Linked DNA regions of Oryzias latipes. The protein of the gene in region 1 purifies or fractionates together with the protein of each later gene. This does not show direct contact. Links are inferred from orthologs where the notes say so. Each region holds a gene or a part of one and is shown on either strand. Other genes may lie near its edges.

The links.
Region 2: the proteins of lrrc59 (region 1) and ybx1 purify together in Homo sapiens (co-immunoprecipitation; 3 studies listed by BioGRID and IntAct, with this or other methods). This does not show direct contact. The link is inferred for Oryzias latipes from reciprocal best matches to the Homo sapiens genes LRRC59 and YBX1.

Annotation. Positions count from the first base shown.
Region 1 is NC_019877.2:13,734,441-13,750,981, reverse strand, and holds lrrc59 (leucine-rich repeat-containing protein 59), read right to left. Parts: upstream 8,872-16,541; 5' UTR 8,696-8,871; intron 8,571-8,695; 5' UTR 8,563-8,570; coding exon 8,461-8,562; intron 8,301-8,460; coding exon 8,241-8,300; intron 7,606-8,240; coding exon 7,447-7,605; intron 7,340-7,446; coding exon 7,235-7,339; intron 7,159-7,234; coding exon 7,086-7,158; intron 6,970-7,085; coding exon 6,778-6,969; intron 6,692-6,777; coding exon 6,414-6,691; 3' UTR 5,449-6,413; downstream 1-5,448. Other genes in the region: nat9 (N-acetyltransferase 9), read left to right, coding at 15-349, 431-490, 728-822, 887-1,051; 5-hydroxytryptamine receptor 3A, read right to left, coding at 11,047-11,268, 11,926-11,993, 12,103-12,282, 14,439-14,649, 14,742-14,902, 15,010-15,179, 15,910-16,019, 16,114-16,158.
Region 2 is NC_019865.2:7,795,637-7,810,606, forward strand, and holds ybx1 (nuclease-sensitive element-binding protein 1), read left to right. Parts: upstream 1-4,066; 5' UTR 4,067-4,202; coding exon 4,203-4,314; intron 4,315-5,856; coding exon 5,857-5,920; intron 5,921-6,146; coding exon 6,147-6,180; intron 6,181-6,269; coding exon 6,270-6,359; intron 6,360-6,428; coding exon 6,429-6,710; intron 6,711-7,041; coding exon 7,042-7,139; intron 7,140-7,393; coding exon 7,394-7,634; 3' UTR 7,635-7,680; intron 7,681-8,045; 3' UTR 8,046-8,395; downstream 8,396-14,970. Other genes in the region: rho guanine nucleotide exchange factor 16, read right to left, coding at 8,983-9,122, 9,216-9,317, 9,892-9,959, 10,206-10,385, 11,048-11,199, 11,284-11,376, 11,470-11,544, 12,396-12,525 and 2 more. UniProt on the Homo sapiens protein: DNA- and RNA-binding protein involved in various processes, such as translational repression, RNA stabilization, mRNA splicing, DNA repair and transcription regulation.

The DNA.
Region 1 (16,541 bases):
TCTGTATCCTGCAGGTACCACGAGTGGATGAAGTCTCCAGAGCTGCAGCAACTCACTGCCTCAGAACCACTGACCCTGGAACAGGAGTACGACATGCAGAGGAGCTGGAGGGAGGACGACGACAGTACGGAGTCATCGGTCTTTGCACCAAAAACAACTCCTGATAACCAGACAGAGACAACATTTCATAACACTGTTGATTTCCCAGAGTGCACATTTATCATCCTGGATACACAGAAGTGGGCCGACCCCAGTGTTAATGAGGAGACCTGCATGGTGGGAGATGTTAACATCTTCCTGACCGACTCCACTGATCCCTCCCTGGCTGAGCTGGAGATCATGATAGCAGGTGACTCATGTTTATTAAGAAAACCTTTTCTAGCATTTTTTTCCTCCTGTGCTCAGTGGCAAATATTCTGTCACACAACAGAAGAGAGCTACAGAGGCAAAGGCATCGGGAAGGAGGTGACACTTATGATGATGTGCTATGGTGAGCAGCTGTTGCATCACTGACAAAATTATTACAACACATTGACAGTTATTCCTTTTAGTCTAGCGTTTATACTAAGATGATGAGAGTTGTGACAAAATCTAACATTTTTTGGCCACAAGCCTGAAAAAAATTCAAAAATCATCACTTTATGGAATAAATTATTACCTCCTGAAAACTTTTAATATTTTTGTTAAATTCAAATTTAGTGATAAGTTGTACACAATCTTCCATCAGGAGTCAACAAACTTGGGATCAAAAGGTTTCAAGCAAAAATTGGTTTGGACAACCACACCAGCATCGCCATGTTCAAAAAGCTGCACTTCCAGGAGGTTGGTAGATGTTCATTTCTGCTTTGAGGGGCTTTCATAATAGTCACGGCTGTTTCTGTTGTAGGTGTCTGTGTGTCAGGTGTTCAAAGAGGTGACCCTCGAGTTAACGGTGGACGAGTCTGTTCAGAAGACACTACTGGAAGAAGTCCAGATGAAGGAAAGGGACTACAGACAAACCTGCAGCGGCAGACGTGCCCAGAAAGGACAGAACGATACGCAAGCTTCCTGAAAGCCTGCAGCTCTAACACAGATCAGAATTTACAGGAACTCAGTATCTCAATGCAGCTGGAGGTCTGCCAGAGCATTTTCTATTTCCTGAAGGTATAACATAGCTGTGAGTAGCTGTGAGATTCCTCTAAAAGGGCTGTACAATTTAAAAAAGTGAATGTCATTTACACTAACTTTATTTATTTTTTGTCTTCTTTTTTTAGGGAAATTACGTTTTCTTTATAAAACGACTGTTTCCGTGAAGCGCACAGCTCGTTGAAAGTTAAAGCAGACTCATAGCATTCCAGCTGGGCACAAATCCCAACTATTAATTTATCCTCCATGATCAATTTTTAAACAGTGAATTAAATTAAAGGGACGCTCTCCATATATCATTACCAAATTTGAGTCCCTGATTGATCAAAGCAGTGGATGCAGTTTGTTTCTCATGAGGGGGAATGCCCCTCCCACTGCAACTTTATACAAATAAATTCTTTAAAAAAATCTTACAGTGAAATTTTTTGAATTTTTATACAGTTAAAAAATATGTTATCTTTGATGATCATTTCAGACTAAATTCAAACTTTTGCTTTTCTTTTTTAATATGAAATGACTTTTTCTTTATAAAGTGAGTGTTTCTGTGATGCTATGTTCACCCCACCCTCATCGACACACATTACAGCGACCATTTTCAATGCAGGGAAATGTGCGTATTGGGCTTCCATATTCAAAATTCTGATGTTCACATGTAGCTACGCACCTAAAACGCCATTAAACGCGTGTTGAAATTTAAGCAGGTCGGACTTTGACCAATCAGGGATCCTCAAATTTGGTAGTGATGTTTCGTCACTTTTAAATCACGGTCTGTTTAAAAATTGATCCTGGAGGAGAGATTAATAATTGCAGTTTGTGCCCAGCTAGAATTCTATAATACCAAATCTTTTTATGTACAGGAATAGAGCTGTGAAAGAAAAAGCCTGAAGCAAAATCATGAGATTTGTTCCGCTTTGACATCTTGTATCAAGCCTCTTCCACCTGTAGGTGGCGGACTTGCGCTAGTTTCAGGTAGCAACAGTCCAGGCCCAGGGGCAAACAGCGGGTTAAAAGAATGGGCATTTATCGCATTTTATCCTATTCACATACCCCAAGTGACCATAGCTCAACACTTTTCCTCATCTATTATAGCAAACTGTTCAGATAGAAAAATTCTTAGTTCACAAAAAAATTAAATGGACGCAAATTATGAATTTCAGATACTACCTACAGAAAGAAGCTTTTCACACAAAATACATATCAAACCAGTTTGAAAATTATTCTAAGGTAATCAAACATGAGTGAAGTATTTTCGTGAGGGAAAGTTTTAGTAATGTCATGTAATAAATCTAAATGCCACAATGACTATTTTCTACTTGGCATCATTACAAGTGACATTTAAATTCCAATGTTTGTAGCCAATAGAAACGTGAAGGGAATAAAACCTGGCAATGTCTAATTCTTTTACTTTAAGATCAATTGTTGAATTGTATCAAATATTCATATCTCCTTAATAACTTTGTTTCAGTGCAAAACATAAATGCAGAGACCTGCTGGAGTGTCCTCTACTGGTTGTGTATGACTTTTATTAAAACCCAGAAATAAGACGTGAGTGAGAAATTGCATTTAGTTCTGTTTCTAGAGATCTATACCATGGTCCGGGTGAATTCTCCATTCTGATTGGCTGCTGGATGTGACATCACACAGGGATAATGCACACCCAAAAAGGAAGTTCTGGGGCCTGTTTCAGAAAGGAGGTTCAACCAACTCTGAGGTTAAACTTGAACTCTGAGTTGGTCAATCGAGAGATTAACAACTCTGAGTTTTCTGTTTCAGAGAAGCTGATCCGAGTTAGATCAATCAATTCTGAGTGGACTGATTCGGAGTTAAGCGTGCGCACCGCGACTATAAGAAGCCATTATCAATGGAGCGCAGATATCACGAGTCACCATAGCAACTGTGGAAAAAAAGAGGTCTGCATATTTTTCGCCAGCTGAACTTGACGTGCTGCTGCAGAGTTACAGTGAATATGAGCACATATTCCGGAAGAAAAGCAACACCGCTGAATCTGCAAAACAGAGACAGTTAGCGTGGAAAACATAGCTGCTCAAGTTAATGCCTAAGTTTGCATTTAAATCATTGTTATAAAATATTGGCTGTAATAACTTTTTAAATTGCGTAAGGTGTGAAATAAAAAATGGCGATATTTAGGTGTACTTTTGAAGTGTTATTCCTGGTGTAATTGCATGAAATGCTGCATAGTGTACAGAACCAATCTGGGGGAAAATGCATTTAACGTCGGTAATGTTTAGAGGACTTTCTTGTTAACCTTCCCCTCTTGCAAACGTTGGTCAGTTTAATATTAATACATTCAATTGTGTTTTTAAAAGTGAACTTTTGTCTACCCTTGTATTGATCAAGTGATATAGGTCTATATGGGATTAAGAAAGTAAGCAGTACTAGCAAATTGTGTTTCCAAAAATTAATTGTTACATTAATCTAATTCAATGTCCCTGATTTTATTTTCATGTAGATGCAATCCTGCAGGAATTAAAAGAACATGGCAGCAGCTAAAAATGAAGTATAAAAACATAATTCAATCAGGTCAAATCTGAGCATGTCATGGATGGAGGCTTTGTTGACAATATTTGACATATGAAACATCTACATAGCAATACATATCTAATGTTTTCATTGTTTATATGTAATTGACTGCAACAAAAAACGGTAAAGCTCAAACAAAAACGTATGGGGAAATGACAAAATATCGAGTCTAGGTCTCAAAATCCTCGCACGGCGTAAATGTAATTCTCTATGAATTAATGCAGCCTCCTCGTCTATTGGGTCCTCCGAAAAAGGACAAGCCATTCTTGTCACTTAGACCGTCTCTGTGTGACGCAAATTTGGGCAATGAAGGTTAAAGCGAAAAATACCGCTTAGTCTTTAAAAAGGGGAGGGGACCGGCAGAAACCTTGAGTTTAGGGAATAAAACCTTCTCCCGACCAGGTTAGGTTCACAGCGTAAGTAACCATGGACACTGACTCCGAGTATAAGTTACCTCTCTTTCAGAAACGGGTTTGACTTACTCTGCTTTCTCTGGTTTAACAAACCTCCCATTCTGAAATGGAAAACCCAGGGTTTCCCTGATTTCAGGGTTAACGCACTCAGAGTTTACACATAACCTTTCTGAAACAGGCCCCTGGTCTCATACATTGAATGTTTTGTATCACTGCGCTGGCTATTTTGAAACAAACTTTAGCTTCATCACCTGGACAAAACAAGCAGTAAGAGGTGAACTTTGTCTCTGAACTGATGCTTTATTTAACCCTTTACGGGCGGCCGTGGTGCAGCGATCGACCCAATCGTAAGGTTGCAGGTTCAGGTCCCGCCTTGCACGCCCATGTGTCGAAGTGTCCTTGGACAAGACACTGAACCCCACCTTGCCTCTGGTGGGAGGTTGGCGCCAGTGTTCGGCAGCGGAGCCGCCGCCAGTGTGTGAATGTGTGTGTAAATGTGTGTGTGCATGGGTGAATGGGACTGTGACTGTAAAGCGCTTTGGGCCTCGGAAAGAGGGTAGAAAGCGCTATATAAGTATACGCCATTTATTACCTTTACCAACGTTAAGGGTTAAGGTATTTACCATTACCTTAACCCTTAACGTTGGGAGTTGGGTCATCTAGACCCACTAGACAGTGCTCTGAACCTTTTTTCTTCAATGATTTGTGATCTTCATGGATTACATGAAATCTTTCCACCTTTATCCACCTTTGTCATGGTAGGGAGAACACGTCAATGTAAGGGTGAGGTCATCTAAGATAGCACAAGGGATATCCCACAGTGACAATCAGCATATATTATCGCTTTCCTTTCCCGCTGCAGTCGAGGTCCGTGCCGACTCAGCCGCTACCACAAATTGCATCACGTAACAAATAGTTTTTTGTGAAAGAAAAAAAAAAAGCCATCAAACCGAAAATATAACAATAAAGTACAAACAACTTAGTATTTCTTTTGTAAGTGACCATGGCATAAGGTTAATGGCCTTCAAAGTGTGCATTATCAGGAATTAACGCGGAAGCAACCGTCAACGCGAAGCAGATGGCGTGCGTTAATTTCTGAACACGCACACTTTGTCGGCCATTAACCCTTACTTAACACATCCAACATTAATGTTCTGCTGCACACTTTTTAATACTAAGTGTTTAAAACTTAATGCTCTGCAAAAAGCAAAAAAGGTGTAAGGTCTTTTAAAACTTGACAGAAAAGATTTGCTTTAGTTGTTCAAATTTTTTTAAATTAACTTGACCTTTAAAGTACGGTTTAGGTTTTAGCCAAACTGCCCCTGATTTATTATATTCATTATTATGGAAATCAAGCAGACCCCAGTCACTCACTTCAGACATGAAGCTTCTTTATTGGTGAAGCAGTTTAAACGCAGATTTTCATATTTAAGTCTCACTCCTCAAGATAGTTAAGAAATAAATAAAACTTGGTGACAATCAAAAGCAGGAAAATGCAATTTGATCTTTACAAGCAGACTAAGGTACATGTTATCTGACCAGCTTTTAAACCATGTTTTTATAACATTACTTTATTTCTTAAACATATCCTATCAGAATAATGAAGAAAATATGATTAGTTTTTCACTAATCCACAAACTAAAAGCTCATTTTAGCTTTTTCAAATTGAGTTTTTTCATTTTTGTTAAACTCAAATCTTTGGGTTTAAACCTGAATCACTTGAATTTTCACGAATTATTTAACCAGTTAAAACATTAATCTAACAAAATGTTGTATTTTTTAAGATTTGACTCAAAAGATCATGAGAGAGGAACAGTGTTAGGAAGTTTGGGCTTATGTCATCAGTCTTGTGACAATCTTTGGAACAATGGTGAGCCTCTCGTTTTACATTAGTTGAGACTTAAAGTTTGACTCCTGAGAATATATAGGTGCTCCACTGCACATGCTCAGACTGCCACATCTAGCCTCTGTAGATGCTCATCGGACAGTGAACAGGCTTTAAGAGTCTAGCGCAGCACAAACAGGGCTGTTTGAGGTTTCACTGAACGGCTCTGCTATGTTTCCTGCAGCTTTAGCGGGAGACATAAAAGATGATTAAATAAGGAAAAAAAAGACTGTAGTACAAAGAGGGTACAAGAATGACAATTCCATAGGAATTTAGGACGGTTTCAACACATCTCCCCCTCAACAAACGTCTATTTGTGCAGACAATTTGCCAGTACCAACGACAGACGCTCTCCAGGTGATTTCCTGATGTTCCGGAGGAAAATTTCAGTCGTTCACAGGATAGGATGAAAATCCTGCCCCTCTGACAGCGAGCCGGCATGAGAGCATTTAGCTTTTGGATGTGGACTCTAGGAGCTCCTTTGCAGCAGAAGACAGATTCTGCGCCAGCTGTCGAACGACACCTCCCTGCACTTTGGCCCAGGCCAAGCCGTCGTCCACGGCAACATTGATTGGCACGCAGGCCGGTTCCTTCTGCAAGTCGGTCAGCCGGCAGGCGGCAACAGCCCCGGCCAAACCCAGCATCAGAAGGAGGAGAAGCTTGAACATCAGTCCGATAAGAGATCGCCGTGGTTTAGACGCAGGTTCCACAGCCGCCTTTTTGTCTGCTGAAACAAAATAAGACATCCATTTAAAAAAGAAAGAATTTAAATAAATGAAAAGCAATTCAAGAAACTGAAAACCTAAATCCCACCTGCTGCCTGTCCATTTCTTTTCTTTTTCTCCTCATTCTTCTTCTTCTGTTGCTCCTTTGCCGCCACAGCCGCCATCTGAGCCTGGTACTCCTGCCGTCTCCTTTCTTTCTCCTCGGCTTTTTCCCGCTTGCGAGCCTCCCTCTCTCTGGCTTCCCGTTCCCTCTGCTTTGCCTCTTTTTTCTTTTCCAGCTCTAAATAAAAAGAAAAATAAGATTTTTACAAGACATGCAGTAAATGGCAAAACTTTCCATTTTTTTGGTAAACCCCAAAACAACCTTCTTTAGACGATACATTTCTAGAAACTCACCTTTTTCTCTTAAAAGGCGCTTCTCTCTGGCGTGGTCCACCTCCTCCTGAATTTCTCTCATGTGCTGCAGAACCTTAAAAAACACGATGAATAGGTTTGGAGGTTTTTCTTCCAGAGCAGACCATTGGACTGATGTTCCTCTATCTCACCTTGGAGGCACACAGTTTGCACTGCTTCTCATCCAGACAGTCTCCTGCTGCCTTTGCCAAAGTGGGCTCCAGAGGGTTATCCTTTAGATCCAACCACTTTAGACTCTAAACAAACCAACCAACCAAAATACGCTCAGTCCGACTTGGTTACAACAGCCTCTTTCTGACTGACACAAATGGTGACAAAAGTGCAGACGCTGCACACCACCCACCCTGAGCTGAGAAAAACTGACGGGCAGGGTCATCAGCTTGTTGTTGAACAGGTCCAGGTGCTGAAGGTTGACCAGGTTCCCAAACTCATCTGGCAGACAGGTTAGCTGGTTTTTGCTTAGATCTAGTTTCACCAGGTGGGTCAACGAGCAGAATTCTGGCTGCAGGACAGAAACACAGCAAACCAAAATGTAAAAATTCTGATTTATCAAACACCGCTAAAAGTCCCACTAATCATATTTTGATCTATTTTCAATGCATTCCCTATAATTAAAGACCACCCAGCTTATATTCTACATCACAAATTCACGCTGATTCTTTTCATCTGCTCCTGATTCACAGCAATTTGAATAAAGAAATACTTAGGCAATTTGTGCTGAATTCTATTTATACTCGTCCTTATCATCAGGAAAATGTCACAAGAACATGCTAAAAAATACCAAGAACACAATTTTACTCAGGGTGGGTATTTAACACTACAAGTAGATGGATGACAGAGGAACAGGAATAATGGTAGAGAAAAAGTTTATTAAAATAAACGGCGACTTCTGTGCCTATCCAAAGAAGGGAACCTAATAGTTCATGGCAACATAAAGAAAGAGTTTTAAAAACTGTTTAGAGATCAAAACATTTACTTTATTCATGCGACACACGATATAATTGATACAAAAAAGGGAGTCCGATTAAATAAAAGTTCAATATTGATCCTTTAACAAAAACAAGAGATAATGCTGTTAAATGTATATATAAAAGCACAATAAATGACATATGTTGCTGATTTTGTACTCATACTTACAGAAAGGCAGATGATGTTATTGCAGGACAAATCCATCACTGTTGCTTTAGGAAGCTGGGCCTTAAAAAATACATACAATTAAATGAATATTATTATTATTATTGCAATTGTTTTATAGCAGGAACTATAGAAAGACACCAAACCAGTCCTGACTTTAATTAAACGTGTTACTTGTGTGTGTGTTTTTTAAATTAACTATTAATAAACATAATTGACTCACAAGCTCTTTGACCGGAACCTCAGAGAGGTTACACAGGCTCAAGTCCATTTCATTTCCACTCAGTTTATCCTTCAGATTCAACGCTTTGCTAGATTTGCTCATCCTGAAGCCTGTCAGGAAAAAAAAAACAGAGCAATATAACCGCAATAAACAAACAAAAGCGTGAGGAAACTTTAGAAAACTATGTCAGACTCCACAAAACACCGAAATCCACACATGACGACGAGGCTCTCACCTGATACGGAACGTTTAACAAAGCCGCTCTTTACGTAGGTCTGTCGAAAGGTTAGCACTGAAGGCCTGACTGATATATCTGAGGAAACCTTGACAGAAGAATCTCAGAAACGCTGTTAGTGTCCGCACAAACTGCCTCTCAATGAAAGTCCACGTCACTGATTGAGCAACAATGCAGGGACACCGCAGAGAACAGCGCCCCTCCGAGGCGCGGAGGAATGACTGCTATTACTATTTGGCCAAATAACAAGCTCCTGTTTTTCCATTTCCATAGTGCTCACAACGTGAAAATTATAGTTTTTGTTTTATTTTTTGGATAATAAATAAATACATAAAAAATTAATGAAAATTGATGCACATCTATTTTTTTAAAGAAAGACACTAAATAGTGCATTTAATTTTGCCTATTCCTATTCCAACTATTTAATTTTTGTGATTGATCATTTTTTGAGCCCCCGAGGAAAGACTTTGCAGGTCCGTTTGCGGATGACGTGGGAAGACTGTGAAAAGACAGACATGTTGCAATTAATGTTTTCTGATAGCGCTGCAGCTGTGTTTTATCTGTTTCCCCTCCTTAGAACTCAGCGCATATGTAAATTAGGGAATACCCAACAAACTTAATAAAAGAGGAGGTGACAGAATATGCGCCAGAGTGGAGAGCGATTGTTGCTGAGGATTATCGCTGTTCGTTTCTCCTCGTAAAAGGTACCTTTGGTCTGTCTTTCTTTCCTTACGTTGTTATTCTGATGTTGCAGGTTGTTGTAATCCAACACATGCTGGTGTATCACACACCAAATTCACAGTAACATTGTACATTTGCAACAATGTCTATTTACTACTACAAATGAAATCAAAACATATAATGGTTTCAAAAATTCCCTTTGATATACAAATGTGTTATTCTTTTTTAAATCCACTAATTTTATAATCCAGACAATTTTCTTACAAAAGCTTCTTGAAAACCAATTACAAAGAATAAAAACTCTATGGAATCTACAATTCCTCAATGATAACACAGTTTTTTTTATTTTTGTAGCCATTTATTGTTCTGTTACAGTTATTTTCCTCTACAGTCCCCCAAAGTAAAATGACTTTTCTTTAGCGTCTTGCTTTATTTTTGGCTTGCACAGTCCCTAACTAAAAATTTGGTTCAAGTATTTGTGCTGACAACACTGAACAAGAGAAAAGCCATACAAATACAGGGAAAACACATGCCACAACCAACATGCCCAAGCTAAATGTATTCATGAAAACTTGAACCTCAAAAACCCTAATGACTCTCTTTATTGTGCTCCTCTTCTAGCATTTTCCACTTACAAAAATGTCATTACACGTATTTTAACAAAAATTTCACAATATGTTGACACCTATGTGTTACATATTGCTAAACATGCTTTAAAAATGACAAATTAGTGGAAAATAGATGGTAATTTACAATGCTAATTACTGTTTGAATGATTGAGCAAGGTTATGAGGTTGGGAGTTAGCGTAGTCACAGTAATGTTTGTTTAATTGGTATCAGTCTGTTACAAACAAGGTTGGGAATAACGGGTATTATGAATATGCTGCTAAAGATTCTAACGTGGCTAATGTGAAGCGTGTTTAAAAAAAGTTAGTGTCAATGTAGCAAATGTTTTGAGTGGTTCACTTCCACCAAATTCATTGTACGGGTAAATAGTATTTTTGTCAACTCTTGTACCTGTACGTTTGTCACTCTGTCCAATCATACTCAAACTCACCAAAGTCAGAAAGAATGCACCAAGACAAGCATGCGCGGTGCGCCATACAATCTGGTGGCCCCTATGATGTGGAAAATATGGTAGATGTTTAGGAAAACAAATCATGTCTGTTCAGTTCATTATGATATTATGACAGTTTAGGCACTGGCGGCAGAGCATGACCAATATATATGTTGCTTCTCATAAGTTTATCATCAAAAAAGTGATAGGTTTTGGATACTTTTAGGTCATATTTATATCCAGTAAAACAAAATAAAAAGGGAGATGAGTGGTAAAAAGTATTACATATTTTCTTGTCATTTTTTGCCTTTTGCAGTCTTTTCAGTGCAGAGTTTGAGTCTCGGGAAAATCATATAGTTGTGGTTTGGTGAAAATAGTGCTCCTAAACAATAACCCCAGATGTTGTCAAAGTTTTCTTGATTTTCACATTTTCAAATTACACTGATTTTGGACTGCTTTAAGGTTCACTTGCAAGAAAAATGAGTTAATTGTTTTTCAAAATATACTTCCATGGTCCACCCATCAGATCAGAAAAAATTTCACACCAATCAAGGAACAAGGAAAAGAAGTCTCATCCAGACCAAACTGCTCTGTTTGGAACATGCGCTGATTCCTATGACATCCACTCACAAAAGATGACGAGTAAAAATATAGAGGCTACTACAATATAACAAGTTCCAAACCCTTTGGAAATCTTCACTGATAATCTGGTCCAGTATCCTACTTTCAAATCATTCTTGCTACCTAGCAGAGTTATGGTTTTCTTCATGTCCTCAAGCTCATCTGAGACTTTCTCCACTGCAAAGGACATCTCCATCAGCTGACTGGCGTTTTCCTGCAGAAGATATTTATTTAGTTGAAATCTTATCAAAGTGAGAACCTGTTAGTCTTTTCAGCAAGTGAGGGTTATACCCAGAAACAAGAACCTAATAATTAAACATTGCAATTTATAAAATTAGGAAGTTTAATTAACTCCCCATTACTAACACAGTGACAGAGTGGAGACTCTGCAATGACATCGGTGGGCTTGCACAGAAAAAATGGCTGTCATGAGATTCATTCTTGTGATTGGTAGCGGGATGTGCTCATTTCTACAGTGGCCCTACGGGGTAACACCAATAACAGTCAGAGTTGTTTGTTGCATCCTTTTGGCCATTTCTGAAAAAAGTCAAGGTTCTATGACGCCATAGATGACCTAATGGCCAGCATAAAACTATAGCTTCAAGGTGAAATATTACAAACCATCAAGTAACACAACATCTAATCCCTGTTAATTTACAGTTATTGGTTTTTTTCTTGTGCTGTTCGTGTCCGTTTTTTAAACTTAGGCCATTTGAAAACGTATTGTTTAAATTTGAAAGATTATCAGTGTCAAAACCTAAATGGGTTTTGTGTTTAGTAAATACACACTATTGAGGCAATTCATTTTTGACTTAAATAGACAAAATGAACCATATTTATAAAGGCTTTTTCATAACTTAGAAGCTTTTACCTCTTTGGCTGAACATGGGTTTTCCTCAGAAGACTTATCACAGACAGGCTGACAGCATTTCTTCACTGCTGTAAAAATATAGGGGAAATGCAGAAAAGAAGTTGTATAGAAATTGTTGTGTATCATGTGGAAAATGCTTTAATGTCAAATATTTGTAAATTGTGAAGAAAATCTGACCTTTAAGGCCGTTGATTAAGTAGGCTTTGGGTTTCTCACTGTTTTGCTCCTCGTCTGAGTTTTTGTCTCCATTAACTTCACTGTCCTGGGCTGTTAAATCTTTATTCCTCAGATATATGACAAAAATGGTCTCCAAGAGGCTGAGTAGCATCAGACCAAAGATTCCAATGCAAAAGAGGACTGCAGGGTGTCAAAAAGCAGAGTATTTCTTTTCTTTTCACACAGTTCTAATTACACATTTTGCTTGAGATTAATTTCCATGATGTATCCTATATAATGATGTATCCTGCCTTACGTCAAGTTATATAAAAAGTTGATTTAGTCTGAAAATAAATAAAAAGGACTTAATTAAACATTTTGTACTTGTTTTAGAAGTTGCATTTCCTTGACCAATGATTACCGTAATTTGCGGACTATTAGCCACCACTCCTTTCATACGCTTTCAACCCTGCTGCTTTTTCAATGATGCGGCTAATTAATGGATTTGTTTGACAGCCGCCGGGAGCACTCATGCAGTCTCGGAGGGAAGACTGAATGCATGATCCAACTACCAGCAGCAAGCCTATTTCTTTTAAGACATACTTACAAGCAGCCAAACAGCATGGACCTGACTTCAGGTTATGACACTTCAGTCATGGTGCAACAAAAAGAAACACCCATGCTCAGCCGCATCCCACAATCCTATGGTGCCATTAGACCCAACGTGAACGTGACTGCCACCACAATATGATGCAGCTTTCAAGTTAAAAGCAATCGTTAAAAGCAGTGTGAAAAAATCCACCATCACCAACGGGTTTGGAAAAGCCGGTCTCCTGCCTGACGGAGAGGACAGCGCAAGCTCAGGAGTGAATTAACCTCCGAGTCAGAGCGACACTGGCCCATCTATTTACAGTAGCAGCTCCGTAATATATATGAGATGATCTTTTAAACGTGTTTTTATTATTGTTATGGTTATTATGAAGCCTGTTTGCTCATCATTTTGTGGTCAGTGCTTTTTTGGGGCAGAAAGAAGCAGGAAGAACGGTTAGGTGAAGGCTAACATGCGCTAACAACAACATCTAGCCTGGATGAACATAAATCGATGCGGGAAATGCTGCAATCTGCAGCTTGGCTCTACGTAAATATGTGGGAATAACATCAGCCTATATTTTGTCAGGACACGACTAGAAACACAAATCCACGTGATTGTTGGAAGGTTTCTAAGGACTGAGCGGCATTTTGCTTTGAAAAGCTCACACCGCCCCAAAGCCGCTGTGTGAGATGGAGACATGTTCTCCTGCTGCTTGTATCACAGAGAGCTGCAGGAGAGATGGCAGTCTGAAGGCTGCCACACGTAACAAAGCAACCTCCCCTCCCCTCAAACACAAAACTTATTAAGTCCGGTTGCTCTGCTCAGAGACACGGTTCGCTCAGTCTACTGGCAGCCGCGCTCCGCGCTCAGTGACCGGACGTCAGGGGGCACGAAGTGCTCCTCCCTCGCAAGGGGTGAGACAAGGAGGCCGCGGGGCAAGGGCGAAGCGCAGAGACGTCCGCGGAACAAGTGTGTCACTGTTGTGCAAGGAAACTTCTGGCGCACGTGCTGCGCTGAGGCGCGCGTGCCGCACTGAGGCGTTCGCTTTAAGTCACTGCTGCTCTCTTTTACTGGCATGTTTTTATAACCAGCCCTGTTTCATATTGATGCCGTGGAAGGAGAGGAGAGCTGCTCTCCCGTTCTCTGCTCCTTCCGCTGCCGCTCGCTGCTCCTTCTTAAACATGCACAACACGGTTTCAGCACATATACATCCTCGATCTATAACACAGTGTGGCGACCTGGGGGTTAGCCCCGCCTTAAGCCTCTAAGACTCATGGGAAGTGGGGAGTCGCGGGTGTAAATTTCCTCACCATAACTGAGGGACCTGTGAGCAGAAGTGAGCTGCATGCTGTTTGGCAGATGTGGATGTGTTCAAATTGATGAATTAATGCACTGCCAACTCATCCCTGAGTGGGACAGAAGCCAGTCGCACAGTCTGTGGGTCAGGAAAATCAGTGGTGGGCCAATAGTGTTAGTAACAGCATGGGGCTTGTATACAAATGCAGCTTGTGTTTGTAAATTGCAACTCAACTTGCGAATTGAGTAGGTGTGGCTTGTAACCAGGTGCACTGTGTAACCTGGAAATTACTGTAGGTACAGTTGAGGTATTCCAGTAGACTCAGTAAACCACTAAAGAAATCCCATCACAAGCTGTGTTTCCATTATATGCATCCGCAAAATGGATCTGTTGGACCTGTGCACATTGGGATTTGACTTTGGACAGGGACCACATGTTGGCTAAGAGCAGGGTTTTAAATCACTTTACCTACAAGTGGAATCTTGTCCGTTGAGGATGGCAGAATCTCATTTAGAAGAAGTTGCATCACTGTCACAGCGAGCAGTACGGTGACTTTGAAGCTGAGCTTCTCGCCTCCATCATCCGGGATCAGGAAGGAAGCCATATCCAGAATCATAAGGAATATGATGGGAACCAAAAAATTGAAACAATAGAGCATGGACCTCCTCTTCATGTTGACCTTTAAAAAAGATACATTTTTATGTTTAACAAAGAAAAGCTGTTGTTTACTTACAATTACTATATTATTAGGCTTACAATGAAGCTACTTACAGTGTAAATGATTGTGGTTTGGTTTGAGCCATAGAAATCCGCGACTTTATGAGAAACAAACATGTTGAGAAAAACCCATTCAAACTGTGTCTTTATGATTTCAAGAGACCACAGCGTTGCATGTGTACTGTTTTCATCCGCTTGAATCATCATCTCCTCATCTGAGTGAAAAAAAGAGATGTTTCTACCACACTTGTGTATGTATTTTGTTTGGCTTTCAATGAGCTCAGTGGGTTTTGTCACAACAGTTCAAACAAACAGGTCTCACCATTGTGCAAGACTGACTTGAAAGTGAGACTGCAGCTCTGAAGGTCAAAGGGGAATTTGTAAGCATGCATCTTGCAGGTACTGATGATCACCTGGTTGTTTCGGAACTCTACTTTCCCCTCATTATGGATTTTAAGTAAAGGACTTGGGGGGGCTTTGTCCTTCTCTGTCCTATAAAGAAAGAAAAAAATAAGCTTAGCACTTAAACAATGATATCAATAATTGGTATACTAATATTAATTATTTTTTTCTCCTTCTTTATTCAAATCTTAAAGTCCTACTCCAATCATAGTTTGATCTATTGTAAAATCCTTCCAGTGTTCTTTTAATGATAATTATGCTATTTTTAGGCAAAACAAAAAAAGATCTTTTTTAGGACATAGTTTCTGCAGAGCCACAGTAGTTTCTTTGGAAAGTCACCTTTGATTTGTGGGCGGGACCGTTGGTGCAGAGTAAGCTTGCCCCCACACCCCTTCAACCATCTGTTTACACACTCTCCCGCTAGCTTACAACCCCTCACTCACTCAACCTAACGATACCCGTGCAACAAATATGGGGAGCAGTATTGGAGTTTTGAGCCAGATGCCAGTTTAAACGAGGAAAACAAAGACGTGGATCTATTTGCCTGCAAGTGGAACAGAATTGAGTGGAGCTTTGAGCTTATGGCCTCAACTTTAGCCTATGTGACTCAACTACAAACTTTTTCAAACTGTATTTTTGTCTGCTCTTGATTCACAACAATTTCACTAAAGAAATACTCAGAAATGCAATTTCAAGCTTATTTTTCTTTATATGTCTTTTTTTTAGGAGAAAAATGCCACAAGAACATGTTAAAAAGCTATTTTCATCAGAGTGGGTCTTTAAATGTTTCAATTCCAAAGACAAACGCTTGTGCACTTACATCTCTTCAATGGTGAGGTCTGGTTTCCATAAAGCTTCAATTGGAACAGCTACCGATGAAATTCCACAAAAATCTTCCTTATTCCAGGAAATGTAATCATTATCCCACTCCTTGACAAATCATGATTTTTGGATCAAGGAAAATGTGGTTAAAGTCTGTATGTGAAATTAAAGATAATTCAATATTTTTTCAGAAAACACTCACCATGTAAATCCAGACATATGAAATAAAAGTCTGATCAATCTCTCTCTGTAAATAAAAAAAAAAAATCAATTTTTATAAGAAAGGGCAAAAAAGGAAATCAACAGAACATGGCAATGAAACAAGGCTGTGGCATAATTTCATCTTCACTTTCCATGTTTTTATAGTTTTTCAGGCCAATCTCTCCCTGTATTCTCTTCAACACTATGTATTTCTGCATCTTGAAAGCTGTTGTACAAACCCGTCTCCACCCATTCTGCCTTTGGAAAGCATCAACAGTACCACTGACCCTCCAGCATCATGACTTTGGCGTATCCTTTTCCCCTTCATGATCCAGAGTTTTATTACCAAAGGATTCTTAATGTCCAATACATTAATTGTTTTAAGTGCTATTGTTTTAAAAAAATTACTACTGGTACTCACGTTAATTT
Region 2 (14,970 bases), on another chromosome or scaffold:
GAACATCTTTCTATTCACATAAAAGAATCCTTTCAGACTGCGAGTGGAAGAGGCTTTTTCTCTTTAACACCCACCCTCTCCCCTCGAGGAAGCTGTTTGTGTGTGGGAGAATGCAGCCTGGCTCAAGTTCTTCACACATCGGTCAGGACTTGTAAACGGTGCCAACGGAGCATTAACATGACAATGAAACGGAGATTAAGGTGGAGTATCCCTGGCTCTCAGTCTGGGGTCTGTTTCTGCTTGACGAAGTGGATTTTTTTTTTACAATTTACTCTTCTGACTTTGTTGCACCAGGAGTCTAACAACAGTCAAATACTCTGTAGTTTTTCCCTCAATGTAAACATCAATCCTAGCCTCTCGGCGTGCTGTTTGTGCTGCTACAACCTCTTTGTGCCCCCATTATGCAGTGTGACATTTTCTATGTGACTAGCTCAGTTACTGAAATCGAGCAGTCCTTTCCACCTTTGTAGGTCTCTGAACTGCATTGCAGGTAGTAAAGGAAAACTGTGTGAATGCTGTTTGTGGCATGGTTAAGAAAGCTGTTCATCACAGCAAGGCAATCCACTCAATCTGGGATCTCAGCTTCCTGTGTGTGTTTTGTGTGGACTGTGGAGGAGTTAAATGCACAAAGATTATAATCTGTTTAGACTTTCATTTAAGTTCCTGGACACATTCTGAGAAGATCTACTGTAATTTAAGAGTCTTTTTTTTTTTTTAACAGAAACTGCATTTATAACTGGTGATGGATAAAACCCACTATCCAGAACTACTGAGATAGTTTCCATCATCCGTTCAGTGGCTTTATATTTATGGAACCAGAGCCAAGTCTTTGTAGAAGCTTATATTTTCTAACATTGACAACAATTAAGGGACAACAATAATTAAATGGCTGGGGTATTGTCATTTAACACTAAAATGGATGCCAACAGTTTCAGAGATGGTTAATTATCCAATTATATGTTTCCCCAATGCAAGGTGGAAAGTTGGATCTAGAAATAAAACTTATGACAGGTTACTGAAGTCACCTTGGAGATCCTCATCTTATCTAATCTTGGAAGTGTAGCAGGATTGGTCCTGGTTAGTTTTTGGATGGGAGACTGCCATCCAAAAACTGGGAGCACAGTAGTGTTTCCATGTGTGTTCAAACACATAGAAATGTGATAGATGGTTAATAGAGGGCAGAGTCAGGAAGGGGGAATCTGCTGTAAAACAGAAGCGGTTCCCCACAGAGGGAATGGCCAAAAGGAATAACAAACTATCACTGGGTAAAGGAAGGAGCTGTTTTGTATGAGGATATCTGGAGTCAATTCATCCATTTTCTATTCCGTTTTTCCCTTTCGGGGTCACGGGGCTGCCGGAGCCTATCCCGGCCACTTGTGGGCGAAGGCAGGGGACACCCTGGACAGTTCGCCAGTCTGTTGCAGGGTAGAATGTCCTCAATCACACACCCATTCACTCTCACGCTCACACCTAGGGACAATTTAGATTAACCAATTGACCTATGAAGCATGTTTTTGGACGGTGGGAAGAAGCCGGAGTCCCCAAAGAGAACCCACGCATGCACGGGGAGAACATGCAAACTCCACACAGAAAGGTCCCCATTGATGTTCTGTTTCAGGTCCCCCAGCAAGAAAGCCCCTGGACTTGAACCAGGGGCCTTCTTGCTGTGAGGCAAGAGCGCTGTTTGTATTTATATAGCCCAATATTACAACAAAGTTGCTTCAACTGGCTTCACAATTGTAAAAAGCATAAAATCAGTTGTAAAATACAATGTCTGATTGCTAAACTAAACTGGGCATCCCTGCCCTCAGACCCTCCTTCTCTGTAAGAAAAAACTCCTAAAAAAAAAAAAAAAACATTCGTGGAAAAAAATAGAAAGAAAACCTCAGGCATGTTCCCTTTGACAGGGGGATCCTCTCCCAGGATGGACAGGCGATGAACCAGGACTGTTAAAGAAGAAATAGCTCATCTAACTCTACAACTACCGTACATGTTTGAATAGTGTAGCAAATAGGCTTCATCCAGATGGTACTGGGGGACGGCTGGGAGCGCGAAACGAGCCAGAGGCGAGGTCCAAGGACAGGAGCAAAGACGGGCCAACTGGAATCTGAAATGGGAAAGAGGGACAACACATTAATCACACTGCACCAAACAGAGGCATGGAGAACTAGATGATAAATATATAATCAAAAATAGAGGAGAGGAGAAGTAGATGAGAATCGAGGACAGAATCCCAGTGCACCATACTTTTTCCAGCTTCTAACTTCTAGGAGCCTGCTAGCAACTAATTGCTATTGAAATTTAATTAAAACATGTTAATAGTAAGTTCCATGGCACATATAGCAGATGGGAATAATAATAGAAAATCTACATTTTTAGTATGTCAACTTTGCTTAACTCGGTGGCCTTGTGGAAGAGTGTCTGTCCTGAGACAGAAGTCAAGAGTTCAAATCATAACAAAGTCTCCAAAAAAGGGACACAACATTTGACACTCAGCATTAAGAGGTTGGATTGGGGGGTTCAGCAATCAATGGTGGCCGTGTGTGCAGCTCATTGCTCCCCCAGGTGATGGGTCACATGCAGTGAAGCAGTACAATACCAGGTTATAACAACTAAAAAAATATGTGAAAGGAATACACACCCTACATACAAAACGTCCGATCTGAAAAAAATCTCTTTTTTTCAAGAAACACGGAGATTGTTTCAAATATTCCAGTCAGTGCTGGAATATTTTCTATATTTCTATTTAATATTTCTCAAAAAAGGGCAGGATTGTCTTGAAAGTTCACTTTAAATATGGAGTTATTCTTGTTCTCACCATTTAAGGCAGGCATGTCCAAAGTCTGGCCGGTCCAAGGTGGGTTCAGAAACCTGTCAAAGGTTTCTTTCTAGATCTCTACAAAGTCTGGCCAAATGCAGCCCTCCTGAAAGCCTCTTCTAGCCTGCTGGTACCTTTTATAAAAATAAATGTGCTCCCAGGAAACTGTGTATGATTTCTTGATTATGATTGCCTACTTTATAAACCATTTTAAACCTATGGCAACACTATGATGTGACCCTTTTGCAATACCTTTTAGCTCATTTCTAAAATGTCGACTGTAAATTTAACAAATGTTGACAATTGGGGGTCGCTGCTTTCAGGACAAGTAGAAATTTGTGTATTTTTTTCAGTAAGATACTAAACATGCAAGAGGCTGGATGTTTTCAAGAAATTCAATATCAAGAGGGACTACAAGACAAGACATCCCAACTATGCCAAGCTAACTAGGAAAGAATGGTGCATGGTTTTCACATGTGAAATTCACTGTCATTTTGTTAAAGATTTATTAAGCTCTTCTTTTGTTCTATGTGTAGAAAATACAATTAATATGCAATAAGCATTTCCCTTAAACAGTTCATGTGCATTTAATGTTATAAGGGTTCAAAGAATGCAGGTTGAATGGTTGGTCCTCACAAATGTTCACCTCACAAAATCTAATTCTCTTTGCAAAAAGTCAAATCTAAAAATTTGCAGATTGGATCTTTTGTATTTTGGTTATCAAGTTTGGTTTTTGATGTTTAATCATCACTATTTACAGGTAACAACCATTCATTTTAAAAGTAAAAATAAAAAAGCAATATTGTGGATGTTTTTTTAAATTTACAATATATTCTGATTCTTTTGTGGGAGTCAAACTTTTTGAAATTTTACATAAATTGTTAGCCTCCAGCAATATTTAAAAGTAGGCTAATATTTCCTAATAATGCCATAAAAATGTTGTTTAACTACGGTTTTAAAAGGGGTTTACGTGGATCAACACTAGCTTTATGCGTCTTTTTTTTTAGTTTTATGCATCTGACACATGATTACAATGGGGCGGTGAAAACTGACAGGTACGGTACCTTTAACCAACCGTTCGTGAAAACGCGTCGCTTCAACTAGACTGACAGTAGTCTAGCCAATCAGAGGACGCCTTTTTTCTGTGACGCATTCAGTCAATAATTCCAGCCAGTGAAAAGCTCGAATGGGCGGGGCCACAACCAAGAACATTCCCCAACACAACTACTGATTCTGCCCAGTTCGATCGGCAACGGGAGCGGAAAGAGGAAAGCTGAGAGCCCGAAGGCAGTAGCCCCCACCACCGCCGGCCCACGTTACCATCTAGCACCGGGAAAAATAGCAGAGAGCCGCCGCCGGCAGAAGCCATTACCAACCAGTAACTATGAGCAGCGAGGCCGAGACACAACAACAACCACCGCAGCCTGCTGCCGATGATGCGGAAAGCCCATCCAGCCCGGCAGCTGCAGCTTCCGCGGGGGATAAGAAGGTCATCGGTAAGACTGCCGACTCCACTTAGCTAACTAGATGCTAAACGTGGTTTATGTTGCTGTAAACGAGACAGAAACAGCCGTTGAATTATGTTAATGTAAAATGACCGTTACGATCAACTTTATTAAGTAGTTGGACGTTAAACCGTACGTCGAATTGTGATACCAACTGTCAATATAATTATACATTTTAAAAACTGTCAGTTGGGAACGGTTATTCATTAATAGCGTATCATTCTCATTAACTATGAGATGTCACAAGTTTAGGAAAAATCCACATCTTAGAAATGTAGTAAATAACCACTTAATCCATGATTTTCTGTCTTGGTGGGAAAACATTTGCGAAAAAGAGACGCATGCATCCAAACGGCCGTCACATGGATGATCGTAGGAGTAATTTATGTCAGATCCAGCATGTTTACTACCAGACGTTGCAGACCTTTATCTCTCACCGTTAACCGCCAAAAGTACGAACAAAACCCGAAAAAATGACGAATAAATGTTTTAAACTTGGAAATACCCTGCGTTAGTTCACACTAACAAGTTCACCGGCAACTGACGCTAGCTGCTTACTATCCCTTTGTTCGCACAAGTGTCGAATCCCTGTATTCTCTGTCAAAGCTTAAAGGTGGTTGTTTTCAAGTTTATTTTGTAACTATTAGATATATTCAATAATAAACGCTTTGGGATTTGTATTCAAACCGTCCTAAGCTTTAACTCGATTTTTTTTTTACATTTTCGGTGAGGCCTAATTATTTCACGATAGCTTTCCAGTTGCTAACGATGCTAATGTTAGCCTAGCCAGCTAGCTGGCTGGCTATTTACATGGCTGAAAAGGCCACCCAAAATGTCCGCCGTTACACGATCCGTTTATACGTTACAGTTCTATTCTAGCTCGGTTTAGGTACTAAAAGCGCTTGCTTAAGTAGTTTCGAAGTAACATCTGTAAGATGTTGATGGGTTTATTACGTTGGTTTCCGCTTTTTGGCTATACTCCAACCACATGGTTGTAACTCTTAGCTACACGGCTAAGCTAAGAAGCCAACTCGGCTTGTTTTTCGGTCTGTCCGTGTGCGACCCTACCACGTGTGAACGCTCACGTCGTGAACTGGGCGTCTTAAAATGGGGCAGTAGGTCTTTAATGTCCGAGTTCTCTAAATGCAGTTGCTAAACGCGAGGTTACTTGTTTTGAAGTTTGACGTGTCGTAAGCTCTGTTCCCCGTGTTATCCGCATTCCTTCCACACATTTGCAGTCAATGTAATTGGACTGTTTTCTACCATGGCCGGAGCTTCACACCGGGAGCAGCTGGCGCCAGGCTCTCCTAAGCATCAGCATCTATAATAAGCACGACAGTTGGAAGTTATTTTTAACGTCCACACTATGGCTAGTTTTTTCCTGCACATATCTTATTATGTGCGATGCTTTGACTGTTCCCAATCTATTATCATATTTTCAAAATTTCATTACTGCTATTCTAAAATTACCTTTGCAGCTTAGAGAAGTAATATTGACACTTGATAACTGAGTTGCTCTGTTTTTCATTGCAGCAACAAAAGTCTTGGGTACAGTCAAGTGGTTCAACGTCAGGAATGGATATGGTTTCATCAATAGGTAAATGACCACCTCCAGCGTTCCCAATCCTATTATGATTATTGCTTTGCTAACGTGGCTGACCTGATTATTTTTTCTAGTGGTCTGCATGCACACTGTAACCTGCAAGACTTCATTAATCCTTGCACTTGTTGGCTTAGTTGCAATCTGTCTTCAGAGGTGTGTTGTCTTAGTAAGTCATGTGTGGTATAACTGAATCTTTTTATTTTTTTCTCTTTTTGTTCAGGAATGACACAAAAGAGGATGTTTTTGTACACCAGGTGACCTATTATTTTCCAAACCTTTTGGAAACTTAAAACATTTTTTTTTTATTTCGACTAATTCACTTTTCAATTGTTGATGATTTCAGACAGCCATAAAGAAGAACAACCCAAGGAAGTATCTTCGCAGTGTTGGGGACGGAGAGACTGTGGAGTTTGATGTAGTTGAGGGAGAGAAGGTAATGTTTTGGGAAGAATTTGGTTATGTTTGCAGGCATGTTGTCAATTTTAAACTTATCTGTTAACAGGGTGCAGAGGCAGCAAATGTCACTGGCCCTGGAGGGGTGGCTGTCCAGGGAAGCAAATACGCTGCTGACAGGAACCGCTACAGGCGTTACCCACGCAGAAGGGGGCCCCCTCGTGGAGGAGAATACCCAGAGAACTACCCAAGTGATGGAGAAGGCGAGCCTGGCAACGGAGTGCGTGACAAAGGAAACAGAGACGGGGGAGAAAGCGCCCCTGAGGGAGAATCGCAGCCACAGCAGCGCAGACCCACTTACCCCAGCAGACGACGCTACCCACCATACTTTGTACGTAGACATTATGGTCGTGGACCCCCGTACACCAATGCACCACGCGGAGAAATGACTGTGGTACGCGGTCACCAGGCTGCTATCCAGAAGTAGGCAACCAGTTGTACCATGACAGTCGAGACACTTGCTCTTCTCCCAACATGCTCCTTGGTAAAGCTCACGTGGTTGTGGTCAAAGTTTGGTGTATCGGGGGTCACGCTATTGTCCGATGGACTTAAATTGGCCGTCTCTTCTTAAAAAAGTGTTCGTGTTGCTTCAATATTTCTGTGCTATACTGAATAATCTGTTTGTTTGAGAAAGCTTTTTTGCTTGATTTGCTCTGTTTTAGGGAGTTGAAGGCGATGAAAACCAGGGAGGTCCAGACCAGGGCAACAAACCAGTGAGGCAGAACTACTACAGAGGCTTCAGACCAAGGTTCACACCCAGGTTTGCACATTGGCTTTGTCCTTGAATGATGGAGAAAAGCTTTCAGTATCAAACCAACATTTAAGTTGGAAAAACCAAAGTCAGTTTTCAGTCAGTTCTTTTCAATCCAGACCTGTATCAACTCGCTGGGATTTGTTTATATATTTTCTTTCTCTGTAAATTCAGAATCATTCCCGGTCCCAGTAAAGTATTTTTGTTCCTCCTAGATATCAATGTCCTTGCTCAAATTTTGGTTTTCCTCTCCTCCTTTTTAGGGGTCCACCCCGTCCCAGACCGGTGCGGGATGGTGAGGAGGACAAGGAGAATCAGGGAGGTGAAGGTGGTCAGAATCAACAGCCCCGTCAGCGGCGCTACCGCCGCAACTTCAACTACCGTCGCAGACGCCAACAGACTGGTGGTAAACCAGGCCAGGAAAGCAAGGATGCCAAGGCAGGAGGTGAACCATCTGCAGAAAAAACGTCCGCTCCCGAGGCCCAGCAGGGTGGGGCTGAGTAGGAAGCAACATGCCCACCGGCAACTACCATCTTTTACCATCGTCCGGGTGAGTGCACCCCCAGGACTGCTCAATATATTCTGCAAGTCTGCTTTAAGTAAAAAATTGCTGTCCTGATTTTTTGCAGTTGCAGAAACATGAGGAAAATGACACTAGGTCCTCTAAAACAGAAAACTTCTTCAAATAATTATGTATCAACGGTTGAAAAGCATATGCATTAAATCTTTTAAAATGTGAACATATGCTGTAGATTAACAGAGACTGTTTCTATTTGCTGAGAAGCAGTTTTAATTGCACTTTCCTTCAGTATAGTGATAACACTTTTAATATGTGCCATATCATATCAAGTTTAATGTTGAATGTGCAGATCGTTTATGGACAGTGAACTTAATTTTCTTTTCTTCTCTTTTCAGTTTTTTTGACACGAAGAAACATCAAATAAGATCTGAGCAATAACGATTTGACTTTAAGATCGTCACAAGCTTGCACCATTTTGACCAGATTACCAACGATTGCCTGCAGAATCTATGCAGACTTGGGTTTGTTTTTTTTTTGTTCTCCATTATTTTTATGTGACAGCTACAAAATGTTTTGGGGAAACGACAATGTTTTTCTAAATCTGTCCTAAGTTTTTACACCAAATGGTTTTTAAAAATAAAATGGAATTTGATATCTGGTCCGTTTGACATTTTTAAATAACTTTTTATGTATTCAAACATTTTAACGAAATGCAAGCTAAAATAAAACTCAAAAACCAGGTAAACCTTTTTTGTCATGGTGGTTTTTATTTTCAAGTATACAGGTTGTCCAGTTTTCATTCTTAGTAAGAAATACATCAGACTGGGGCATTTGGTTTAATAGACCAAGGTAAACATTTAAGTGTTAATAAAGGCTGGTTGAAAGTAATTAGATCACATGAGCATTAAAAAAAACATTCCAACATATTTGACACTGCAACGTTAATTCAACTTCCTTGTTAGGATTAGAGCCTCAGCTTAAGGAAATTTGGTTCACAAATCATGGATATGGAAAAATGTAACTGGTGCAGAAGTAAAGTAAGATTTGCACCTTTTTAAAATGTCTGTTATTTGCAGTGACAAAAAAGTCAAATGTTGGTTTGCGGAAACCTAATGGTTACATTTTATCCAAGGCCTCAGAGTTGAGTAAAGCCATTATGGTGATTTGCGTGTGCTATGCTGTGGAAGGTGACCCTGTTATCTCTGGTAAGTTATCTGGTGTATCCACTGGGATTGTAGTGGAGGAACAGGTCACAGGGCTAAGGCCACACGAGCAATAAAAAAAAAAAATTCATCCTGGCAAATTGCAGCACCAAAGTACAGCCATGAAGAGTCAAACGTTGGTCTCTTTGCGCAGACGTTTCATTTGTTGCACGTTACTCTCCATAGCAGTGGGGTTGGTGATCTCTGTGGCACAACTGGCAGGAAACCAGCCCCTTTCCCCATCTCGCATTCTCTCTGCATAGCACCATGCTGGAAGAGCAGACATGAATGAATGCTTTAATATGACTATTAAAAACATATACAGGATGCCTTATAACAAATCTGAATGGAAATACCCCATACCTTCCTCTTTTTTCATAACAAGGACAAGCTCAGCCTGTCGGAGGCCAATCTCATCTGGTTCCTTTGGGATGTAGGATTTAGTGGCCTCATACTGTGGAAGACCTTAAGCAAAGCAACATACAAATTTAATTTATGTAGGATATAGTAAAAAAAATGTCCATCTAAAAAAATAAAAACACTTCTACAGTAACACATCAAAACCTGCAATAGGGGTTTTCCATGACAATGAATACCTAAAGTTTTCATCTGTATCCGATAAAATTTTTCTAAACAAAAGGTCACAAAAAAGAAAAGCATAAAAACCGTAACCCTTGTGCTATCCTAGGCACTAACGTTGGGAGTGGGGTCATCTAGACCCACTAGACAGTGCGCTGAACCTTTTTTCTTCAATGATTTGTGATCTTCACTGGTGTCCATGGATTACATGAAATCTTTTCACCTTTATCATGGTAGGGAGAACACGTCAATGTAAGGGTGGGGTCAAAGATAGCACAAGGGTTAAAGGGTTCATTGCATCATTTTTGGAGGTTTAATTCAAGTAGTAAAAGTAGTGCAACTCCTGCAAACATTAAATTGAAAATCCATTATCTCAAAGGCACAACATTAAAAATGAAAAACACAATTTTTTGCTGTTTTAAATCGATGTTCATTTCATTGCTTTAATCATCACACCCACCTTCTGTGCATGTGGCATTCGCCTGTTTGTGCTCCGTGAGGGCGATAATCCAGCGTGCCCGATCCACTCTGAAAGAGTTGACAGAGGCAAGAGTAGAAAGGAGAAGAACAATAACAAGATTTGGTCAGCAGAGGGCGCCCAAATATTGTAAAGGTATCTATTATGTGAATGGACCAGATAATAAAGAAGAAATAGTTAAATTATCAAAGATCTAATGCCCAGTAAAACATACATTTTCTCTAAAAATGGACTTCCAGATTCCATTTTTTACACTTAATTTCTTGAAGTACACTGAAAGGAAAGAGCTGCAGTACCTGGAATCAGCTACTAAAGAGATTTGTTCCGATCTCCCGTCACTGTTCTTAGTCATCAGCAGTTTGAAGGTCAACGGCGTGCTTTTTGTAGGTGAACTCATTTGTCCATCTGTTTCCATCACATACTCCACTTCCACATTTTCCAGAGTAGCATAATCCAGAACCACAAAGATTTCCTCACTGGACACAAAAACAGTGTTCAGATTATTCTGTCCTCTAAATGCAACAAACAGGGAGGATAGTGAAAAATGCCTTAAAATGTACACAAACACATTCTCTTGAGTTTTACGTTTGCTTTTCCTGGATAATCCCTGAGGAAAGGTTGCAGTGCTGACTTTACAAACATTAAAATGACTCCACTGTCATGGGCAACTCCTTCCTCTGAGCCAACATTGTTTAGTTTCTCCCTAATTCAAAACAGACATCTGCAGTGAGTCCAGCTGACAGGCTGAATGCAAGATTGAAGAATCTGAAGTATGCTCGCACAACATCCAGACTCACTTCTCATTCTGTCCCCTTTCCTTTCATACTTTTCCCTGCCAGCATATGGACATTTCACCAATAAATATCAGTCACACTAAAATAAAACATTGTGAATAAACTGTGCTAAACAAATCCTCACACTCCTAGAGGTGCACCACATGGATAAAAAGGTGGTTTCAACTGAAGAAATATCTCAATTGTGGATTTTGAGGCAAAACTAACTCTATATGAGATCGTATGAGTCAAAATTCTGATATCAGGCGAAGTCTAAAGATGGTTCGAATGTTTCTTTTTTCTCAGTCTACAAAATGATTTCATTATTTAGAGGGTAAATAAAAGCCTGGTGAATTCCAACTCACGTCTTCTTCTTGGTGACAATGAGCACATCATTGAAGAGGAATAGGTAGTAGCTTCTGTTTGTGAAAGCTTTCCATATGCTGAGCTCTTCTGCAGAGATGTTCAGCTCACCACGCTTCTTCAGCCATCGTGATGAGGACACCAGAGGGAATGGCTAAAATGACAAGACGCCGGTGGTTTTTTTTTTTTTTAAATCAAGGCTTTTGTCCTTGTTCTTTTCACTCTGTTTAATTCTTACTTTGATTTTCCCAAAATCCATCTGCTTCTGGATGGTGTACATCTGCTCCGTTCTCTCCATTCTTCTAGCTCCATCATTGCAGCTAGTCACTAACTTTTGGGACGAAAACACCCAGATAACTATCTCCAGAGCCGTTACAAAACACAGATGGTTTTCATTTGTTCTATTTCGTCGCAGCGTTAATACCTTGCTCATGGCATGCAGGGCCCACACGGCTGCAAAGTACTCTGCTGTGTTTTCTGGAGTTTTCTGACAGATGGTCTGAGGACAGAAAAAAGTAAGTTTGTCTGCCTTTTTACTAGAATCTAGTTGAAGCATGATTGGAAAAAATATATTTTAAAAAATGTTAATCAAGAATTTTTCGCAACTGCCGAAAATGAGAAGTATTTTATGAAACCAAATTTGAGGAGGTTAACAGCAAAATTACATACAAGACATCTGCAAAATTAGTGCAACCCCTGTAAAAGTTTAATTTAGACTCAAGTTTGGTGAAGACCAAGTCAAGTCTCTGAAAATCACAAAGTTGAAAATATAATAAACACAATCTAAGCTTTTTTAAAACCATATTTTGAGAAACTGTAAATGGATGCCAAAAATCACTTCAATGACAGATTTTCTCTCAGCTTTGTTTCTATTCTTTGTTAAACTGTCAACACATTAAAAACGTTTCTAAAATAAACACATAGTGAATTAGAGAAGTAACAGCTTAGACAGGGGTACCGTTTTTGACAAGTCTGTACAAAACCTAATTCTGTAGACATTGCAAAGCCTTGTGGGTAAAGAAAAGAGGGTAGGTGTTGGTGTGAACCGCATGTGAAGTCTAGACCTTTTACTCCATAAAAGCAATATTGGTCAGTATGATGCCAAAAAAGGTTGCAAACCTGCAGGTGTTTGCTAAAAGGGACACAGAATCAGATAATCTAAAATAACTAAATAACATAAGGAGTTTTTTTAAAGAATAAAATTAATCTAATCTCATGATTAGTTTTATGTAACTTTTAGGAATTTGTCAATATCAGGGAAATAAAAGCGTACTGAGCTTTTTATTTCGTATCCTTTTTTCTGTTAGTGAAGTTATTTTAAACTGTTGGAAATGTAAAGAAGAAGCTTACATCGAGCAGCAGTGGCAGCCTGGTGACTCGCTGCATGGGTAGGATGAGGAAGGAGAACATGGGAAGGCCTCCACATTCACTGCTGCTTTCCAGCTGCTTCAGAGCCTCTTTGAATGCAGAATTAGTGTTCCTTGAAATCAAAAAAAAGATGCTTGGTCATCACATCACATCAAAAACAAAAACAAACTTGCAGCTTGTTCTGACTCTCACAGCAGCTTCTGATGAGTCCTCTGTTGGAACGTCTCGTTGGAGCAATACGCGATGTAAGGTTCGAAGTGGTGCGCTGCGTGGTTCTGAATGATATCGCTGATGTCGCGGATCACCACGTCCTCCTGGTGACGACGCTCCAGGTCTTCGAAAAACCTGAGCATCCAGAATAATGGAAGCAGTCAGAGACATATAAACAGAGGGGCCTTTTCACCCTTTAACTACCCAACCAAGTCAAAATTGATTTGAAAGTTTCTCTGCTGCTTATTGCCTTGGGCGACTAATACAAATACTCAATATTTTTTACAAAATGTTATCTAAATGTGCTCTAATGTTTAGTTGAGCAGGCAGTTAGTCCCCCATCCATCCATCCATCCATCCATCCATCCATCCATCCAAACTCGCTTTATTCCCAGTGCTGCCAAAACTACATTTACAGAAAGTAAAAATACACTTGTTTCAAGAAAAAAAAGTCATATTTTCTGTATTGCAAGATAAATAATCTTATAAAGTAAGTTTTTCCACAGCAAAATTATCTTAGTTTGAGAAGACATGTCTTGTTGACTAGATTTTTTTTCTTAAAATAAGAGTTCTTGGTAATAACATTTTCTTAGCCTTTTGGAAGACTTTAATAATTTAAAAAAAAAATCTCTGCCAAACCACCTGTGCGAATCAGTGAACGCTGATTGCTGTGGCGGCCCCTGAAGGGATAAACCAAAAGATGAACAATGTGCGAGGGGGGACTTATTCCAAGGGGTCTGTTTGAGCAGAGAGTCTGGGTCACAGGGATGTTGGAGCCTATAACCTACTAAAGTGTCAGCTCACAAGTCATTCCTGTAAAAATTGGCTGAAATAATTTATTGTTCTAAACTACTATTAAAATATTGTCAAAAACACAATTTAACTGGAAACCAAGACAGAGGTGACTTTTCTTCAACTACTTTTACCACAGAAGTTTGTCTCAGTTCATCCAGTTAACTGCACGGCTTGAGACACTGGCAAAGTAGAAGTAATTCAGCTGGAAAGAAGAGAATCTCTGGATACTTCTGCTTGTTCTCTAGTGTTATTGTATCTGGACCACAGTCAAAGTGATTTTTTTTTCCTACATTTTCTCAAGTTAGATGACCTATAAGTCATATTTTTGAATATCAGAAACTAAATAAAAGTTCTCGATGACACATTTTTTCTTTCTCCATTTTATATGTTGAAAACAAAAAACAATTTTAAGATCTTTTCTGCCAAAGTGCTTCTTTTGGATAGCAATACATTCTTTTGCAGTTCTGAACTTTGAACCAAAAGAAGTAAAATGACACCAAAAGCTAAACCACACCCAGAGGCAGCTTTATGACACACATTCACATGCAGATAACGTAAGGCGGTCAGATGTTCCATAGACAAGCTGAACTGTTCGTTGGCTTCACACATCCCATTTCACTGTCTTAAGACTAAACACAGTACTTTTCTTGCTCATAGAACAGAACCAATACTTCATTTATAAATGAAACTAAAAGAAAACAAAACAATTTCACTTCCAAACATTTTCATTTTAGGGCAAAGTACACAACTCGGTGCATTCAGGCAGCAAAACCGGTTTGGCTCACAAGTCCTAACAAGTTAATGGAACATACACAAAACTAAAGGCACACTGAGGGCAAATACTGAAACCGACAGGAAAGGAGCGTTTTCAACCCTTCAGCCAAAGAAAACCGGGTATATTTACACCTTCACGCACCATTAAAACAACTCAAAATCATTTCAGATCTGGCATTGTGAAAATATTACAATTTCATACAAACTTTAAATAGTGGTTGATATACGTTTCCCGTAACCCTTGGGCTATCCTAGGCACTTTAACATTGGGAGTTGGGTCATGTAAACCCCAAAAGACAGTGCGCTGAACCTTTTTTCTTCAGTGATTTTTGATCTTCACTGGTGTCCATGGATTACATGAAATCTTTCCACCTTTATCCACCTTTGTCATGGTAGGGAGAACACATCAATGTAAGGGTGGGGTCGTAGGATAGCACAAGGGTTAAACAAAGCCCATTATAACAAAACATGTTAGATTCTTATCAAAGTGGTAAAGGGTGTTGCTTCAAACCTTTGGCTGACTTTGAGAATTACAGAGATGTTGGAGAAGAGGTGGTGGTGCTCTGTGGGCGCCATCGTTTTACTCAGTGTTTTACTGTTCTTGAAGTGACGCACCAGGATGCCCAGGCTGTGTAGGTATGAGTGCTCTGAGCAGATGATCTCAAAAATAGCCTGCCAAATAATCACAGATAGGAAATGACAGATCACCGCACATTAAACACAAAAAACAGAACATGTATGTGTGTAAGCCTTTCCTTTAAAACTTTATCCTGAACCC